4 linked regions of the Macaca fascicularis genome follow. The protein of the gene in region 1 binds, or shares a complex with, the protein of each later gene. Links are inferred from orthologs where the notes say so. Each region holds a gene or a part of one and is shown in the gene's direction. Other genes may lie near its edges.

Region 1 (4,265 bases):
CTTGCGCCCGGAAGGTCAAGGCTGCAGTGAGCCCTGTTTGCAACACTGCACTCCAGCCTGGGTGACAGACTGAGACCCTATCTCAAAAAACAAACAAACAACAAACGCTGGGACAATGGTAAACTTAAATGGGATGTGAGGATTACATGGTAGTAATGTACCAGTGTTAATTTCCTGATTGTTTTCTGTTTAATTTTTTTTTTTTTTTTTTTTTGGTCGCCCAGGCTACAGTGCAATGGCACCATCACAGCTCACTGCAGCCTTTGCCTCCTAGGCTCAAGCAATCCTCCCACCTCAGCCTCCTGAGTAGCTGGGACGACAGGCGTGTGCCACCACACGTGACTAATGATTATTTTTTTGTAGAGACAGGGTCTTGTTATGTTGCCCAGCCTGGTCTCAAATTCCTAGAATCAAGGGATAGAACTGCCTCTGCCTCTGCGCCTGGCAATTTGCTGATGGCTGTGTTGTTATTTAGGGAACGTCCTTGTCTGTAGGAAATACTATAGTCTTCGGGGTGAAAGGGTATCAGGTTGACAGCTTACTCTAAATGGTTCAGGGCAAAAAAAGTTCTTGCAGTGTTTCTTTAAGTTTGAGACTGGGTAATTAGAAAAGAGTGACAAGTTGCAGGCTTTAAGATTATTCCTAGGATTCTGGGTGTTGGAGGAGGGTGTGAGGATGTGTGGAAGGAAAAGAGTCCTGAAAGAAGGTGATTTGGAAGACAGAGGGGAGTCAGCCTGAGTTCTTGCCCTTCAATAGCACGCATCTTTGGGCAAAGGGGGCCTCGGCCAGGGTCCATGCTTAAAGGTCCTGCTTTTGCCTTTTTTGTGCTCTGAAAACTCCCCGTGCAGAAGAATGGTTGAATCCGCAGTGAAAAAGGGACATGTCTATCAGCTCGGACTCCCTCTTCTATTTCAGTCCAGAATCTCCTGGCCAAAGGCCCTGGGGTTGGTTGGGCTTCTGTTCCATCACCTCAGGGTTGATCGGGCCACATGTGTGCACGCCACAGCGCATTGCGGGGCGCTGTTTGTCGGACTGTGGACAAAGCTTGTACCTAGAACTGGATGTCCACGTGGGTGGGTGGGAGGTCCTAGAGAGGGGCGGCTTTTTGCCAGCGGCCACATTTAGTTGGGGCTCAAGGAGTTCCTGTTAGAGAATTCTAAATTTGAACTTGGTCTTTCAGGTCTTGGGAAGACGTGTTTGTCACGGTAGGAGAGAGACGACACTCTCTCTAGACTGTGCTGAGCCGGAAGAAGGCTCACAGCAAGCTTAGGCTGAAGCCGTAGGATGCCTCAGGCTCTGGACCTACAACACCCAGAGCGCAGGCGAGCGCTGAGCTAATCACGTGCTGCGCCTCGGCCAGTCGCGCGAGTATGTGGCACCTTGTGGGCGGAGACCGCGCCTCTCCGCGCGGGGGGCGGGGACACGCGGCTCGCGCACTGTGGGCGGTGCCCGGCTGGGGCCACGCCTTTTCCGGCCTGCCGCGCGGCGTAGGCTCCCGCGTGTTTAAAAGCGGGTTTGTGGCTACTGCTGTCTTAACTGTTGTACTTGGCGGACAAACAGGCGAGATGGCGGCGGAGGTGTTGCCGAGTGCGAGGTGGCAGTATTGTGGGGCGCCCGACGGGAGCCAGAGAGCTGTACTGGGTAAAGACTGCAGAGCTGGAGCAGTGCTCCTCTAACCCTCCCCCCTTCCGTCTCGGTATCTCAGCTGTCCCCTCGCACTCCGTTAGGCTTCTCCCCAGCGGGGCCAGGACGCCTGTAGTCTCCACCACTCTCCTGGGCTCGGTCGGGGCTGCCCTGTCCGTCTTTCTGTCACTACCGCCCAGCCGGATTGGGACATCCCACTCACCCGCTCCCCAGGGCTGTGTCCAGGACCCTGCTGTCCCCTCACCCACCAGGTCTCCCACCTCCCCCGTTTCCCTCTCTTCACTGGGCAGGGGTTCCTTCTGTCACTTTAGGTGTGGACCAGGCGTCTGCTGTCAGCCTCCTTCCGCGAGACATTCCCCCTTGTTACAGCCCCTCCCCAGGGTTCTCCCACCTCCCTAACCCCTCTTCTCAGCTGGCCCCGGATCTCCTCTAGTTCCCTTTGGGTCAGGACCCGAGCTTCCTTGCCATCCCCATTCTGACACTCACTCCCTCCCAGTGACAGTCTAGTCCCACCGTACATTGTGTGGCCTTCTGCTCTCACCTGATTCTTGGGCTGCACTCTTACAGTCCAGTTCTCCAACGGGAAGCTACAGAGTCCGGGCAACATGCGCTTTACCTTGTATGAGAACAAAGATTCCACCAACCCCAGGAAGAGGAATCAACGGATCCTGGTAAGTGAAGCAGTTGCCAGCTGCCTCCACTCTGCAGGGCTCAGAAGGCGCCTGGGAGTGGGTGGTGTGGGAGGGAGTGAGGGGAGAAACAGGAGAGTAGTAGCAAATGGACCTTTGAAGAACTCTGATGCCCAGCAACTTGGGATGTGGGGACAGGCTCCATCTTTCATTCATTTATTCTTTCAACAAGCATTTATGGAACCTCCTCTGTATCCCTGTGCTGCAAGCTTCTAGGAAAACAGCCAAATCAGGCCTAGCCCCACTCGGAGTTCATACTCTAGAACAGGGTTTCTTAACCTCAGGACTATTGACTTTTGGGGCCAATAATTCTTTGCTGTGGGGGCAGCATCCCTAGTCTCTACTCACTGGATGCCAGTAGCACCAGAGTGGATTTCCCTGGATTGAGAACCTCTGCTCTAGAGAGATGAGAACTGGCTGTGAGGGACACTTTTACACAAAGCTCTGAGGCCACGTGCGGAAGATTACAGGGCAGAGTGAGCTCAGTGGGAGGAGAGGTCTCTGCCAGAATGCCTTCCTTGGGGAGGTCATGTTGGAGCTGAGCCTTGAAGGCTGGAACGAGGGTTTGGCAGTCAAGGTTTGGTGTTCTAAGTGAAAAGGATAGCGAGGACAAATGCAGAGAAGCAGGAAAGCTTGCTTATGATTGGGGAGTCAATCAGCCATGGTCCTGAGAGTATACAAAGAACAGCCATGGGAGAGATGGGCAAAGAAGGTGAAAAAGGGCTTGGACTTTGGGCCAAAGAGAGATTGCTTACAGAATCACTTTGTTGCATGCCTGTAAGTGCTAGAAGCCCAGGGCCTCTCTCTCAAGTCTTGTGATAGAATTCCCCCAAGAGCTTTTCATACCATTAGAAGCTAGCACCATCTGAGGCTTCTCTTCCAAAAGTTGTCTTGCTTCCCCCGCAGGGACACCCCATATTCCCTTAGAGAGAGTGGAGCTGGATCATCTGCCAGAGATGAACTAGTTCTAATCCATTGTGAGTCTGGATTCAAAAGCCTCAGCAAATGTAGAAAAGAGAGATGATGCTTAATACCTTTCAACATTGGTTGTAAATGGAGTTTCTCCTCTCTGCATTTTAGGCAGCTGAAACAGATAGACTTTCCTATGTGGGAAACAATTTTGGTACTGGAGCCCTCAAATGCAACACTTTGTGCAGGTAATGGCAGGGGAAGGGACAGCGGGAAGGGTGATGGGGTTGGGAGTGGTGGCAGCACTGGCACTGCTGTTTCCTGTCTGTCTTAAGGGCAGTAGGAGCCATCTAGAGCGGTTTACTAGGTGATTCCTGTGTTCCTATTAGACATAGAGCCCTTCCCCTCACCTGTAGACATTGCTGGAAAGGAAAGATAACTTGAATTTCCTGAAAACCTCATTTGTAACCTTGTTTGTTTATAGCTGTCTTATTCCAAAAGGCAGTTCTCTCCATTAATTTGGAATGTGTGACTAGTAGGTCAAAGCTTGCGTGAAGTTTACCTGGGAACTAACGACAGGTAAAGAACTTGGTAGTGTTGAAGGCTCTGGGCTGGGAAAGAGAAGCCTGGGATTCCCATCCCTCTGTGCTGCTGTTTGACTGAGTGGCTGGGTAACTCTGCCCATCACTGACCCCTAGTCTGTACAATGAAGATTGTCCAACCTCAACTATATCACTCTCGGGGGCTGGCATGATGCAGACAGGGCCCTGTGATGGTACCCAACAATGAACTACAAACCAGGCCCTTTCTGAGCCTTACTGGACCATACTCCAATAGAGGTCAGATTGCTGTATAGGTGCTGAGAACTACTAACCCTGCACTCTCCCCTCTCAACGATGCCCTAGTTCCAACTGGTCTCCTTCCCGTTTACTTGATTTTGCCTCCATAAAACTGTTGTGCCATAAATTCTAGTGTAATTCTAGATTCCTACACCCCAAAAGAGTTTTCCATTACAGTACAGCA
Region 2 (4,069 bases), on another chromosome or scaffold:
TGTCACTCTTCAGCAGTTTGCTGAGTTTTAACCCTTTAACTATGGTGTTCTCTCCATTATCACAGAGAAAGGCAGATGGGAGCCTCTCCCAGCGAAAAGACTACAGCTTGTGTCCTTCACAGGACAAAATAGTGATGGCTCCAGAACTTTCATATGAAGGAACTTAGCACAGCTATCAGAGTGGGTGGTGGTGGGAGGACTAGCATGAAACTAGTAAACAACGACAAGCTGCCCCTTCAGGGAAAGTTTCTACTTCGAATATAAGTTACAGAGTAACGAAAATAGCAAGATTTCCGAAAGAAACTTATTCCCATGTTTTATAAAAGATCAGGGAAATGTCAGCTGTCCACTTAATGGATGACGAATAATGAATTAAGAGTTCGATAAGCGGCAGGCACAACTAAAAGCCAAACTCGACCTAAGTCTTATGAAATCCTACTTAATGAGCTTCTTGACTACTGCTAGCCTCACTTATCTGGCAGGAGTCGAAGGAGGGGAAGCCCCAAGCTCTTCTGTTCTACCACCTCCAAAGTCCTGAGCCCCTTCTCAAGTGTCCCACTTCATCCCTGCTTCCTTTCGTCCCGTGGGACTAAGGATTCCTCTGGCCTTCACCCTCACCACTTGCTGTCCCTCAAGAAGCCGACTCACCCCTTTCCAAGCGCGGTGAACCGTCCGCAAAGCACAGGCCGGCTGCGCTCTGCAGAAAGCCCACGCTCGCCAGCGGGACCCAAGGAACGCTAGAACTATACATGCCAGAACACTTAGCTTTGTTTTTAACTACTGTGCAGCCGCAAAAGGGAAATACCAGCTCAGGACCCAGGGGAGTTGTAGTTCTCTAATCCAAAGAAGTCATTATTCAGCAAAGTACGGTTTTCAGGAGGATATTCCCCCGCGATTGGGTTCCCGTAGGATGTGAAACAGAGAATAAATATCCCAGGATTCGGTGCTGGTGGGAAAATTTGCTGGAAGCGCAGCATTGGTTACCAATTTTGTGCTCAACGTCTCAGTACCAGCCTGAAAGTTGAGCCCCAACCTCCCTTAGAAGAGGTGACTCTCCATCTCTAAGGCTTCCGAGACACGGTTCGCAATTAATTATGACGTCACAGCCAATCGTCAGCGTGAAAGCGTGACGCTCTAGCCGGCTCTAGCTCGCTGCCCCGCCGCGGGCGCAGAGCTGGCGCTCTAGCCCACGGAGTTGGCCAGCTCCTCTCGCCGGCCCCAGGAAAGGGTTCCAAGTCCTTTTAGTACCCGACGCTGTCTGGGAGTTCCGGGCGTTTCGGCTCCTTGGTCGCAGAGGCAGGAGGCGTGCGTGGGAGGAGGACTCGGGTTATATACTCCTACGTCCTGGGACGGAATAGTTACCAACTCTGGGGCAGGAACTCTTCTCTCTTTTGTTAATAAACTTCTAACTCCCTCCTCAGACCCGACTGCATGTCTGTCATGGACCTCGCCGGTACTTGCTCCAGCTTTCAGTCGGACTTGGATTTCTGTTCAGATTGCGGCTCGGTCCTGCCTCTGCCCGGGGCTCAGGATACGGTCACCTGTACTCGCTGTGGCTTCAACATCAACGTTCGGGGTGAGAGGCTTGTACACAGGGGTCCTGGCGGAGGGCCCAGGATCGGAAGCTTGGGGAACTCAAGATAGGTTGGGTTCAGAAGGGGATCCTAGAGCAGGACATCAGGCAGTTGTACATTTGGTCCAGCGATGAAAACTGAGGGAAAGGATATAGGGCCTCCTGGCCTAACCAGCCAGGGGAGAGGGGAAGTTTCCGGTGTCAGCTCCCTCAGGTTGTCTCCATAACCAGTCTTACTTGCCTGTGCAGACTTTGAGGGGAAGGTTGTGAAGACTTCAGTTGTGTTCCACCAACTGGGGACAGCCATGCCTATGTCGGTGGAGGAAGGGCCTGAGTGCCAGGGACCTGTGGTAAGTTAATGAGATCAAGAACTGGCTCCATAAGGTGGGTAGGAAAGAAATGGAGGAGTGATTGCAGAGATCTGGAGAGTTTTGTGCCCAATTCCAAGTGGGAAAAGATGTAAAGCATCGATGTTTGAGAGGCGTGATCGCCTGGTTCCTGTGGGAAGTAAGGGTATGATATGACCAGGCCTCCATAACCCACCAGTTTCTTCCCAGGTTGACAGGCGCTGCCCTCGATGTGGTCATGAAGGAATGGCATACCACACCAGACAGATGCGTTCAGCCGATGAAGGGCAAACTGTCTTCTACACCTGTACCAACTGCAAGTGGGTATCCTTTCCCCTCCCTTTGCTCAGTCTGTTTGCTAACTAATAAACAAATCCAGTGATTTATTTTTTTGTACTAAACGGCTGTGTCCTTTCGTCCCATCCCTTATTTCTGTGCAGTTCTGGTAAGAGGGAGATTTGTAGTTTTTATTTTTTTAAATTACACTTTTTTAACCCTTTTTGTAACCAGTGAAATAAACCTTTTAGGTTTTTGTTTTGTTTTTTTTTTTTTTTTTTAAATGGACAGGGTGTTGCTCTGTCACCTAGCCTGGAGTGCAGTGAGGCAATCTTGGCTCACTGCAACCTCCGCCTCCTGGGCTCAGGTAATCCTCCCACCTCAGCCTCCAAAATAGCTTTGGGACCACAGGCACGTGCCACCACACCTGGCTTTTTGTTTTGTTTTGTTTTTTGTATTTTTAGTAGAGATAGGGTTTCTCTCTGTTTCCCAGGCTGGTCTTGAACTCCTGAGCTCAATCAACCCACCTCAGCATCCCAAAGTGCTGGGGATTACAGGCATGAGCCACCCTGCCTGACCTTCTTTTAGGATATTTAAAAGGAAATGAAGAAAAAAAACCATAAGAAGCAAGTATTGTTTAGTGGTCAGCGTCTTATACTGCAGTCTTCAACCGCAGTCAAGGTAGCTTTACTTTGGAGAGAATTAGTCACACATGATTTAGAGAACATGGGCTTTCTGAATGCTTTTAAGACCTCATCTTTGTCTTTGGTGTTCTGCAGTCACTATAGTATATCAAAATGTGATTTTCTTTTATTCTGTTTGGGATTTGTTGGACTTTCTGAAACTGAGAGTGCATTGTTGTTTTTTGTTTTGTTTTGTTTTTTTGAGACGGAGTCTCGCTCTGTCTCCCAGGCTGGAGTCCAGTGGTGTGTTCTCGGCTCACTGCAAGCTCCGCCTCCCGGGTTCACGCCATTCTCCTGCCTCAGCCTCCTGAATAGCTGGGACTACAGGTGCCCCCCACCACGCCCGGCTAATTTTTTGTGTTTTTTAGTAGAGACGAGATTTCACTGTGTTAGCCAGGATGATCTCGATCTCCTGACCTCGTGATCCACCCGCCTCGGCCTCCCCAAGTGCTGGGATTACAGGCGTGAGCCACTACGCCCAGCCTAGAGTGGATTTTTTTTTCATCAACCTTGGAAAATTATCAGCCATCATCTCTTTTAATATTCTCTTTCCCCCATGTTCTCAGTCCTCACATTCTGGACCTCTAATTAGTTACTAGAATGAGATTTCTCTCTTCTGTCCTCCATTTCTCTCGCCCTCTTTTCATATTTTCAATCGCTTTTCTCTTTATGCCACCTTCTGAGTAATTTCTTCAGGTTCCTCTTCCATGTCACTAGTTCTGTCTTCAGTTTATTTCAAATATTATTATTTTTTACTATTGTTATTATTTTGAGTTCTATTTAATTACTTTTCAAATCTCAATTTTTAAATAATTCTCAGTTCCTTAATCATATTTTAAATTGTTCCTTTTACTAGTCTTTAAATATATAAAATATTAAATATAGTTATTATATTCTATGTCTCATAATTCTGATATCCATGGATTTTGTGTGTCTGATGCTGCTGTCTGTTTCTGCTGTCTCTCTCATAGTGCTTTTTTCTTTGTTTTGTAATTTTTGACAATAAATTTGAGTTTTTTAGAACTTGAACTGTAGGAATTCTTTGAGGCCTTGGGTAAGTGCTGTATTCTCAGCATTTGTGTTTCTTTTCTAGGTGCCTTGAAGCACTATCAAGCTGGAATTACTTTAAATAAATTCTTGGCTTCATGTTTTTTGGAGCACACAGATAGTATGAATTTGAGCTGCAAATC
Region 3 (4,009 bases), on another chromosome or scaffold:
CTTCAAAACTAAAACAGTTTGCTTCAGAGGACACCAGCAAGAAAGTAAAAACCCACAGAATGGGAGAAAATATTTGCAAATCATGTATCTGACAAGGACTAGTATAGGCTATATAAAGAACTACAACTACTCAGCTGGCCGGGCGTGCGCGGTGGCTCATGCCTGTAATCCCAGCATTGAGAGAGGCAAGGCGAGAAGATAGCTTGAGGTCGGAAGTTCAAGACCAGCCTGTGCAACACAGACTCCCGGCTCAAATTTTTTATAAAAAGTGATATAGGAAGGAAAAGTACCAGGTGAACTAGGAAAAGGGGAAGTTGACAGTAAGGAGGGACTCTCAGGGACAGGAGGATACTGGGTAGTGGTGGTTTAACTGTTTTGTGGTGATGGCTGCATGGTTGTATACATAGGTCAAAACTTAACACGTACACTTTAAATGTTTGGTTTATTGTATGCCAGTTATAACGCAATATAGCTGTTAAACACACAATGAAGTTGAAAGGCCAGCAGGCATTCCCTGATTAATCAGTGTACTGGGGAGGTAAGGGGCTCACAGGGACGCAAAGGATCTTCACGCTGTAAATCCAGTGGGACGCCCAGCTGCCCTCTCCCCTCCATCCGAGACCGCCCGATCCCACCTCCCTCCCCAGGCCTCCCCAAGGACTCCAGTCCAGAAGATGCGAGGAGGTTAGCGGGGCCCGACCACTCCTTGGCTTCCCAGGGATGAGCCTCGCGAGTTAGGAGTTGGGTAGAGTCAGCCAGGGGCCCGGCATCCGCTTTTTCGTTGAAGCAACGACTTTGGCCGGATGACTCCCCAGTGTCGGCGTCGGCGTGGGACTGGGAACGGGTTAAGGGAAATAGAAGAGAACCTGAGAAGACCGCTCTCCTCCAATCCTAATTGACTGAGCCAATGAGAGCCAAAGAGATCACACGCTCCACTGGGAGAGGAGCGGGTTTCCACCTGCGGCATCTGTCGCAGAGGAGGGAGATGGGTGGGGCGGAAGATGGGAGAAAGGGAGGGACCGCCACGCTCTAGCTGGTCACGGCCTTAATCGGCCCGTTCACTCGAAGTTTTTGGTTCTACGTCGACTCCATGAAACCGAAACCGTAGGGCCTAGGGCGGGCGGAACGAGAGGGAACTACATTTCCCAGCAGGCTGCGGAAGCGGGACTCCGGCCACTACTTCCGGCGTGTACAGAGCCACTGGCATTCGGTGTGCAGGTGGCCGCATGGATCCCGGCAGCCGGTGGCGGAACCTGCCCAGCGGGCCTACCCTAAAGCACCTGACCGACCCCTCTTATGGAATCCCGCGGGAACAGCAAAAGGCAGCGTTGCAGGAGCTGACGCGGGCGCATGTGGAGTCCTTCAACTACGCCGTGCACGAGGGTCTCGGCCTCGCGGTGCAGGTGAGCGCGGCGTCCGCTGGCGCCCTTGCCGCGGCGAGGCCAATCGCAGGGAGATGGCTGGGAGGTCACAATATGACCCTAAATGCATGTGCTCCTTGATCCTGACAGGCTCAGTGGGTAAGCGGGAGAGCACAACATGTTAAACAGGACGCGGAATTGGGCCTCGTGGAACTTGTAGTCAAAGCGTCTTAAGAGATGTATTCGTGATTTCTGGATTGAAAAGTGATTGCGAACCGTAGTTTCTTGTTGGACAGTTTCTGGGTGCTGTGAGAGTGAGGAAGTGGCTTATCTGGGGTGTGCTTCCCAACCACTCACAATGCACACGGCTTTATATCACTAGAAGACTTACCTCTCCAAAACGTACCTCAAAAGATTCCGAACTTATTTGTAGGTACAGTGTAATGTACAAGGTTATCCTTCAGTATCCTTCTCTTAGAGCTTTAAAGAGAGAAACTACTCGTCATTTGTTATGAATTAAGCAGGTGCTGAGGAAGGTATAAATGAGTCATAAAAGCAAGATTGAATCGAAAAGTGTAATTGCATTATTAGCGTAGAGTAGTGGTAGCAGAATTCAGGTGAGGATGGTGGGGGAAAGTTTCGTTTAGTAAGCATCTCCAGTGTCTCCAGGCACTAGGCTCAGAGGATGTGGAGGAGGCAGTCCCGTGTAAGAGACAGTTCATGCGTTTCAGTGCTCCCTGTCGTGTTTGGGGGTTGGAGGGGTGAAGATATGAAAGCAGTCCATGCCAATATTCTTGAGAACTGCTCTGCCAAGGGATTGTGTGGGCTACGGTGGGAGCAGATGGGCGGCGCAACTAATCCAGGAGTTTGAGAAAGGGCAGGATTAGATGAGTTCAAGAGGTGAGAAACGTACATTTCATCCAGGGGAAGGGTAGAGCAGAGTCACATGCTTAGGGGACGCTACCTGTGGTTTTGTTGGGTAAAATTTGTGTTGTGAGAGATAGGAATAGAGATAATGTGGAGAGCTTTGATTGCCAGTCTGATTCTTGAACTCTGTTCGGCAAATAATATGGGAGCCATTAAGATTTATTGTTTAGAAAGACTTGGTGGGGGTTATTTGTATTGTGCCTGGATTCTTACAGTATCATGTCTGTGAGAAAAAATACCTAATTAAAAGTTAATTGGGCCGGGTGCAGTGGCTCACACCTGTAATCCCAGGACTTTGAGAGGCCAAGGCAGAAGGATGACTTGAGCCCAGGATTTCAAGACCAGCTTGGGTAACATAGTGAAACCCCACCTCTACAAATATTAAAAAAATTAGCGGGACATGGTGGTCTGCACCTGTGGTCCCAGCTACTTGGGAGGCTGAGGTGGGAGGATGACTTGAGCCCAGGAATTTGAGGCTTGACTGAGCTATGATTGTGCCACTGCACTCCAGCCTTGGTAACAGAGTGAGACCTGTCTTTTAAAAAAAAAAAAAAAAAAAAAATCAAATTGAGAAATTTTAGAAAAGCACTAATTCATTTAAAAATAAGCCAATCGGCTGGGTGTGGTGGCTCTTGCCTGTAATCCCAGCACTTTGGGAGGTGAAGGCGGATGGATCACTTGAGGTCAGGAGATCCGGACCAGCCTGGCCAACCTGGTGAAACCCCATCTCTACTAAAAAATACAAAAATTAGCCGGGCGTGCTGGCACATGTCTGTACTCCCAGCTACTCGGGGGGCTGAGGCACGAGAATTGCTTGAACCCGGGAGGCGGAGGTTGCAGTGAGCCAAGATTTCACCACTGCACTCCAGCCTGGGCGACAGAGTGAGACTCTGTATCAAAAATAAATAAATTAAAAAAAAAACCAATTCTATGTTAACATTTTTATGAAAAATATTTTCCAAAGCAAAAAAGAAATTAGATGAATTGCATTATTAAAAATATTTTTAATGTCTGGCTCAATGAAAAGACAACTGGATTCTCATGTCTGCTTCTGCATTCAGTCCCTTGTGATATATTGTTTTGGTTGAAGTAGATGAAGAAAATTTGGCCCTGCATAGAAAATGATGCCACAACTTAGCCAGTACTGTAATAATATAGTATCTGAAAATGTTTTGTAAAACACAGTAACATAAATGGCTCATATTTATAAAGCCAAGGGAAAAAATAGTTGTCATTTTTTTTACTTACAAAACATAATTTTGCCTAGTTTCTTTGAAGTGAATTTCTCCTTTCTGTGAGTCAGAATTTATGTGTCTGTCTTTTCAAAATCTTTTCAAAATGCAATTGATTTTTATTACTTGGGGATTCTATATTTGCAAATTCACCTACTCACTAAAATTTACTCCTACTCCAAAAGCACCATGCCCAGAAGCAGCGAAAAAGTTGAGTTGATCAGTGTCCGTTTTCCCAGCTGAGATCTAACAAGGTGATGCTCGGCCTTCTTGTTTTCAGTTCTTAAACTATAAACAGAGGTGGTCTTCACTATCTATTTAGTGCCATGTTTTGTGCTTTTTGTTGGTGATTTTGCTGTTTAAAATGTCCCCCAAGCAAAGTATTAAAGTTCTGTATAAAGTTCCTAAGCACAAGAAGGCTGTGCTGTACCTTTTGGGGAAAATGTTAACACATGCATTTAACATAGGCTTTGTTCAGGCATGAGTTAG
Region 4 (4,134 bases), on another chromosome or scaffold:
ACATGTTTACATTTACATCCCACTTCCACTTAGGCTGCAAGCTCTTTATCACTTATTATTTATTAACTCGCTATCAGGTTATTCATTCAGAGTGCATTGTTTGCGTTTTTCTTGGTTTTCTTTGGAGGAGGGATGAGATGTGGGGGGCTACTGTAGTGAATAATACAGATATTATGGTCCCCACTTTAGTGAGTGTAGGAATCTATTGACGGAACAGGCAAGCAAATGGCAGTTAATATAAAATTAACATTAAAAAAACATGCATGGGTAACTACCTAATCCTTATAGAGAAAGAGGTGTGGGGTGGTTGAACTCTTTGCAAAGGGACAGAATGTAAAATCTAAGCTAAAAATTGATACGTGAGGAGAATTTACCCTTGTGAAAATATTATATTTCCCGGTAGAAGGAACAGCGTAAGACTGCAGAAAGAGTGACCTGAAAGTGGATCAAGGGGCATAATATTGGGGTGGGGAGTGTGACAAATGAAGCTGAAGAGAGAGGCTGCGTGCCCACACAGATCACAAAATGGCCTTGTATAAGCATTTTTCAGGAGTTTGTGTTGTCCTAGAGAAAGTGGGGTGCCTATGTAGGGCTTAAACAGGGCACAACACAATCATATGTGTTTCCGGGAAGATCTGGCTGCCCCAGGGCGTCCTCCTGACCATTGAGCTAGGCTTCCACAGGCAGGGAGTCCTGCGGTTTTGTCGGTAGGGAAAGAGAATAGTGTCCAAACAGAATGATATTTCCACTTTGGGAAATACAGGCCTTCAGGCTGATTTAATATTTGGGAAAACAAAAGAGGATCCGAGGCTGACAGGTTGGCTGTGGTATAATTCCCTGATTTAGCATGTGCATAATGAGGAGAGAAGTGGGACAGGAGAGAACTAGTAGGTTCGTTTTAAGATATGTTGCATTAGAGTTATCAGGCCTGCTTCTTAGGATTTCGTGTCCTGCATAAAATACACTCCATAAATATTTTGATTTTTTATTGTACAGTCCAAGCTTGTAAAATTCTACCAAACCACCTTACTACTGGAAATGATCAAAGTGAAAACCCCCCTTTTTAAGCTGCCTACTTAATCCAATAAGCTTCTGTACGAAAACACATATTTGCCTGCCCTTAAAAGAGCAGACAGTTGACTTTCCTGCATGCTCAATGCATATCCCAGGCTCTAAGCTCGCGTCCTCGAAGCGCGAAAATACGGTTCCCCCTGCTGGCCAGAGCGGCGTAATACAGCGTAAGGAGGAGAAATTCCTAGGGGCGTGGTAGTTGGTGGATGACGTAAAAAGAGCGTCGGGGACAGGCGATTGTGCTTGCGTCAACGGCGCGCGCCGTGGGAACCTTGACAAGCGGCATGGCTGCGGGTTGTTCAGAGGTGCCGCGGCCAACGGCGGCTTCTGATGGGTCTCTGGTAGGGCAGGCTGGCGTCCTGCCTTGCCTAGAGTTGCCGACTTATGCCGCTGCTTGTGCGCTGGTGAACAGTCGCTACTCATGCCTGGTGGCTGGGCCGCACCAAAGGCACATCGCGCTGTCTCCCCGCTACCTGAACAGGAAACGCACTGGCATTCGAGAACAGCTTGATGCGGAGCTCCTTCGCTATTCTGAGAGGTACCGATCTCTTTGCCTGTTCCTTCTTTTGTGCACGGGAAGTAGCAGCAGGTAGATATGCTGACAACGCAGCAGAAAGGGGGCAAATAGTAAAGGTCGCATTGCCCCCCCAGAGCTTAGCCCCGTGGAATTCTAGAGTCGCGATCCGCCCCTCAAGGCCAGTACCACTGTGGTGAAGATCTTTATAGGGTCCCTTTCATAGATAGAGAAGAAAACTTAAAGATGAAGTTCAGGTGTCGGCGGAGGGAGTGGAGATTCTCGCTCCAGAATCCTGGTGTAGGGGTAGGAACAGACCAAGGGTCTGGAGACCTAGTAGGCCCAGTTCTGTTTGGCATTCAACGTTTCATTTATCCCGTTCCGGATGATGTTTTCTCATTTGACGATAAAAATTTGGTTTGCAGTGCTTAAGTAGATTCTCATTCCATCGAAGATTGCACATGAAGCATTAGTACAACCGTTCTACCTGTAAAACGTGAAGCACGTTTTTTTCTTACTGTATTTCAATCTGGTCATTTCCCCATTTTCTCTTCTTTTGGACCTGAGTTGTTTTTAAGACGATTTATTCAATCGAACTAATGAGCCTGTTGCTTTTGGGAGAGAAAAAAACAAAAGGTATGCATTTATATTACGGTATTCAAAAGTGCCTTGAAAACAGAATTACAGAGGTGTGTGGCGGGGGGCGCGGGCATGTGCCTCAGTATTCCTCTGGACTATACTTTGGTTCAAAAGCGAGGTTCTAATACTAGAGTGAATGGATTCTTTAGGGATTCATGACTGTCCTTCAGGAATTCTTATGTGAAGTTCCTTGGGCACTGTATCGGAAGCTTTTATCACTTTCTTAAGGGATCCTTGACCTCCACACACAGGTTAATAATCAAGCATCTCCAGAATATACAGCTTCTTCCAAGCACCAATATACACTTCTCGTATGTTTATATTATATACCGAACACTTGAGATACAAAAACAAACAAAAAATGAAATCCCTCTTTCAAGGAGCTTTAAGCTGTAGTAGAGATACAAATACAAGCCAATAAATAGTAAGGTGTTAAAATTTGACAGAAATCTAACAAGATAAGGAGTGTTGAATTGGGATCTTGGGACCTCTGAGAACAACTTGAGTGAAGACGGTACTTTCCCATGGTAGCATTCCAGGCAAAGAGTGGCATAAACAAACGGATACTGGATGTGAACCGGTATGCTTTGCCCAGAGAACCGTATCTATTATATAAGTAGAATAAGGTTTATGTCAGGGGAAAGGCATTGGATGCCATTGGAGACGAGGGCAGGGGTGACTCAGAGAGGATGGCCATTTTGCTTTTCCCTTCCTGTCATTGCCAGTTTTTGTTCTTTTGGGGGTAAGGTGGGGTTGTTGTTGTTTTTCCTTTTGTGTTTCTGTTTTCATAGGCAGGGTTAGTGCTTCATCCTCTCAGTACCCTTTAACTCTGAGACTTGGTACACTTTTGAGAAAGCAGTACTTATCTGCAGTTCCTGGCATATCAGATTTGCAGTTTAAGAAACAGTACTTGTTAGCCTTACTTAATGGTTAGCTACCAAATAGGATGAGAAAGTGGACAAGGAGAGGAATTAAGATCATGTTATAATTGTTCAAGAGAAAATGATTAGAGAGGATGGATTTGAGAGATTAAAGGATATACAAAGTAGTCATAACATCTGGAAACACAAGCAACCATCCTGTTTTCTGTAACCGTTTTGTATTGCCTGCATTTGACAGGCTAGGGCGGGAAATAACGAAATCACGCGGAGTGACTCTGAACAGATCTGGCCACCACTCCTTTCATATTACTTGGATATGCTGAAGACCCCTGGTGAAATTATGCACCAGGTGAAAATCAGGCACCACACTTTGAACTATGCATTACTAATGAGGGACAAAACATTGAACATACAGTATTAAAGAACTAAAGTGAGGCTACCATCTTGCCCTGATACCTATTTAGGATGGTATCTGAAAAACAAAAGTGAAGAAGGAAAAAGTATATAGTGTTGGGTGCCTGTGTTCACATATCTGATGACTCTTAACAAAATCCCCCTTGAATTTATATATTGCTAAATTCCTGAACAATTTAATATAGATTAAAAATATGCAAAGATGGCTGTGTGTTGATGTTAAGAGTTAAATTAGGTTCCTAGCTATTTGTAAACAGATTTGTCCTTTTATTCAAAAGTCAGAGCTAAGGATATTTCCTCATTGTACCGACTGTCCTGTACATGACAGACTCTTTTCTGCCCTGGCTTGTGCAAAGTTTGTGATAACCATGATTAGTATCACAAATTTCCAAATGTCCCCCCTCCCACCAGGGGACCACAGACCTCCTTCCAGACACGGCTTTGATTAGGAGAAATAAAGTCTTAATATTTGTTTTTCTGTCTAGTATGGCAGTTAATTTTTCTTCCTATTCTCTGATTCTGTTTTCTGTGTCCCTAACATTGTCTTAGTGATAGGATGATTCCAGCTTAGGAATGCCACATGCAGAAATGAAAACCTCAGAAGATTGCTTTCCC

The links. Proteins that work in one complex are often made in the same cells at the same time.
Region 2: POLR1E (region 1) and POLR1H share a complex: the UniProt entries of both Homo sapiens proteins name them as parts of the RNA polymerase I (Pol I) complex. The link is inferred for Macaca fascicularis from reciprocal best matches to the Homo sapiens genes POLR1E and POLR1H.
Region 3: the proteins of POLR1E (region 1) and POLR1B are in contact, whole or in part, in a cryo-EM structure (PDB 8A43), measured with the Homo sapiens proteins. The link is inferred for Macaca fascicularis from reciprocal best matches to the Homo sapiens genes POLR1E and POLR1B. Residues at the interface, in NP_071935.1 of Homo sapiens: Gln27, Ser29, Asn30, Gly31, Tyr69, Thr76, Leu79, Lys80, Cys81, Leu84, Cys85, Met109, Gln110, Pro111, Leu112, Phe113; in NP_061887.2 of Homo sapiens: Lys254, Ser258, Phe259, Ser260, Tyr262, Gln263, Gln266, Ser295, Thr296, Gln297, Ser338, Thr340, Glu341, Ala532, Cys535, Pro541, Ile542, Asp543, Gly544.
Region 4: POLR1E (region 1) and POLR1F share a complex: the UniProt entries of both Homo sapiens proteins name them as parts of the RNA polymerase I (Pol I) complex. The link is inferred for Macaca fascicularis from reciprocal best matches to the Homo sapiens genes POLR1E and POLR1F.

The regions. Positions count from the first base shown.
Region 1 is NC_088389.1:61,840,631-61,844,895, reverse strand, and holds the start of POLR1E (DNA-directed RNA polymerase I subunit RPA49), read left to right. Parts: upstream 1-1,463; 5' UTR 1,464-1,565; coding exon 1,566-1,641; intron 1,642-2,140; exon of another isoform or gene 2,141-2,211; coding exon 2,212-2,315; intron 2,316-3,413; coding exon 3,414-3,490; intron 3,491-4,265. UniProt on the Homo sapiens protein: Component of RNA polymerase I (Pol I), a DNA-dependent RNA polymerase which synthesizes ribosomal RNA precursors using the four ribonucleoside triphosphates as substrates.
Region 2 is NC_088378.1:142,602,755-142,606,823, reverse strand, and holds the start of POLR1H (DNA-directed RNA polymerase I subunit RPA12), read left to right. Parts: upstream 1-1,269; 5' UTR 1,270-1,296; exon of another isoform or gene 1,297-1,305; intron 1,306-1,421; 5' UTR 1,422-1,431; coding exon 1,432-1,576; intron 1,577-1,822; coding exon 1,823-1,923; intron 1,924-2,130; coding exon 2,131-2,240; intron 2,241-4,069. UniProt on the Homo sapiens protein: Core component of RNA polymerase I (Pol I), a DNA-dependent RNA polymerase which synthesizes ribosomal RNA precursors using the four ribonucleoside triphosphates as substrates. Can mediate Pol I proofreading of the nascent RNA transcript.
Region 3 is NC_088387.1:19,538,185-19,542,193, forward strand, and holds the start of POLR1B (DNA-directed RNA polymerase I subunit RPA2), read left to right. Parts: upstream 1-1,209; 5' UTR 1,210-1,226; coding exon 1,227-1,403; intron 1,404-4,009. UniProt on the Homo sapiens protein: Catalytic core component of RNA polymerase I (Pol I), a DNA-dependent RNA polymerase which synthesizes ribosomal RNA precursors using the four ribonucleoside triphosphates as substrates.
Region 4 is NC_088377.1:110,487,377-110,491,510, forward strand, and holds the start of POLR1F (DNA-directed RNA polymerase I subunit RPA43), read left to right. Parts: upstream 1-1,334; 5' UTR 1,335-1,355; coding exon 1,356-1,609; exon of another isoform or gene 1,610-4,092; coding exon of another isoform or gene 4,093-4,134. UniProt on the Homo sapiens protein: Component of RNA polymerase I (Pol I), a DNA-dependent RNA polymerase which synthesizes ribosomal RNA precursors using the four ribonucleoside triphosphates as substrates.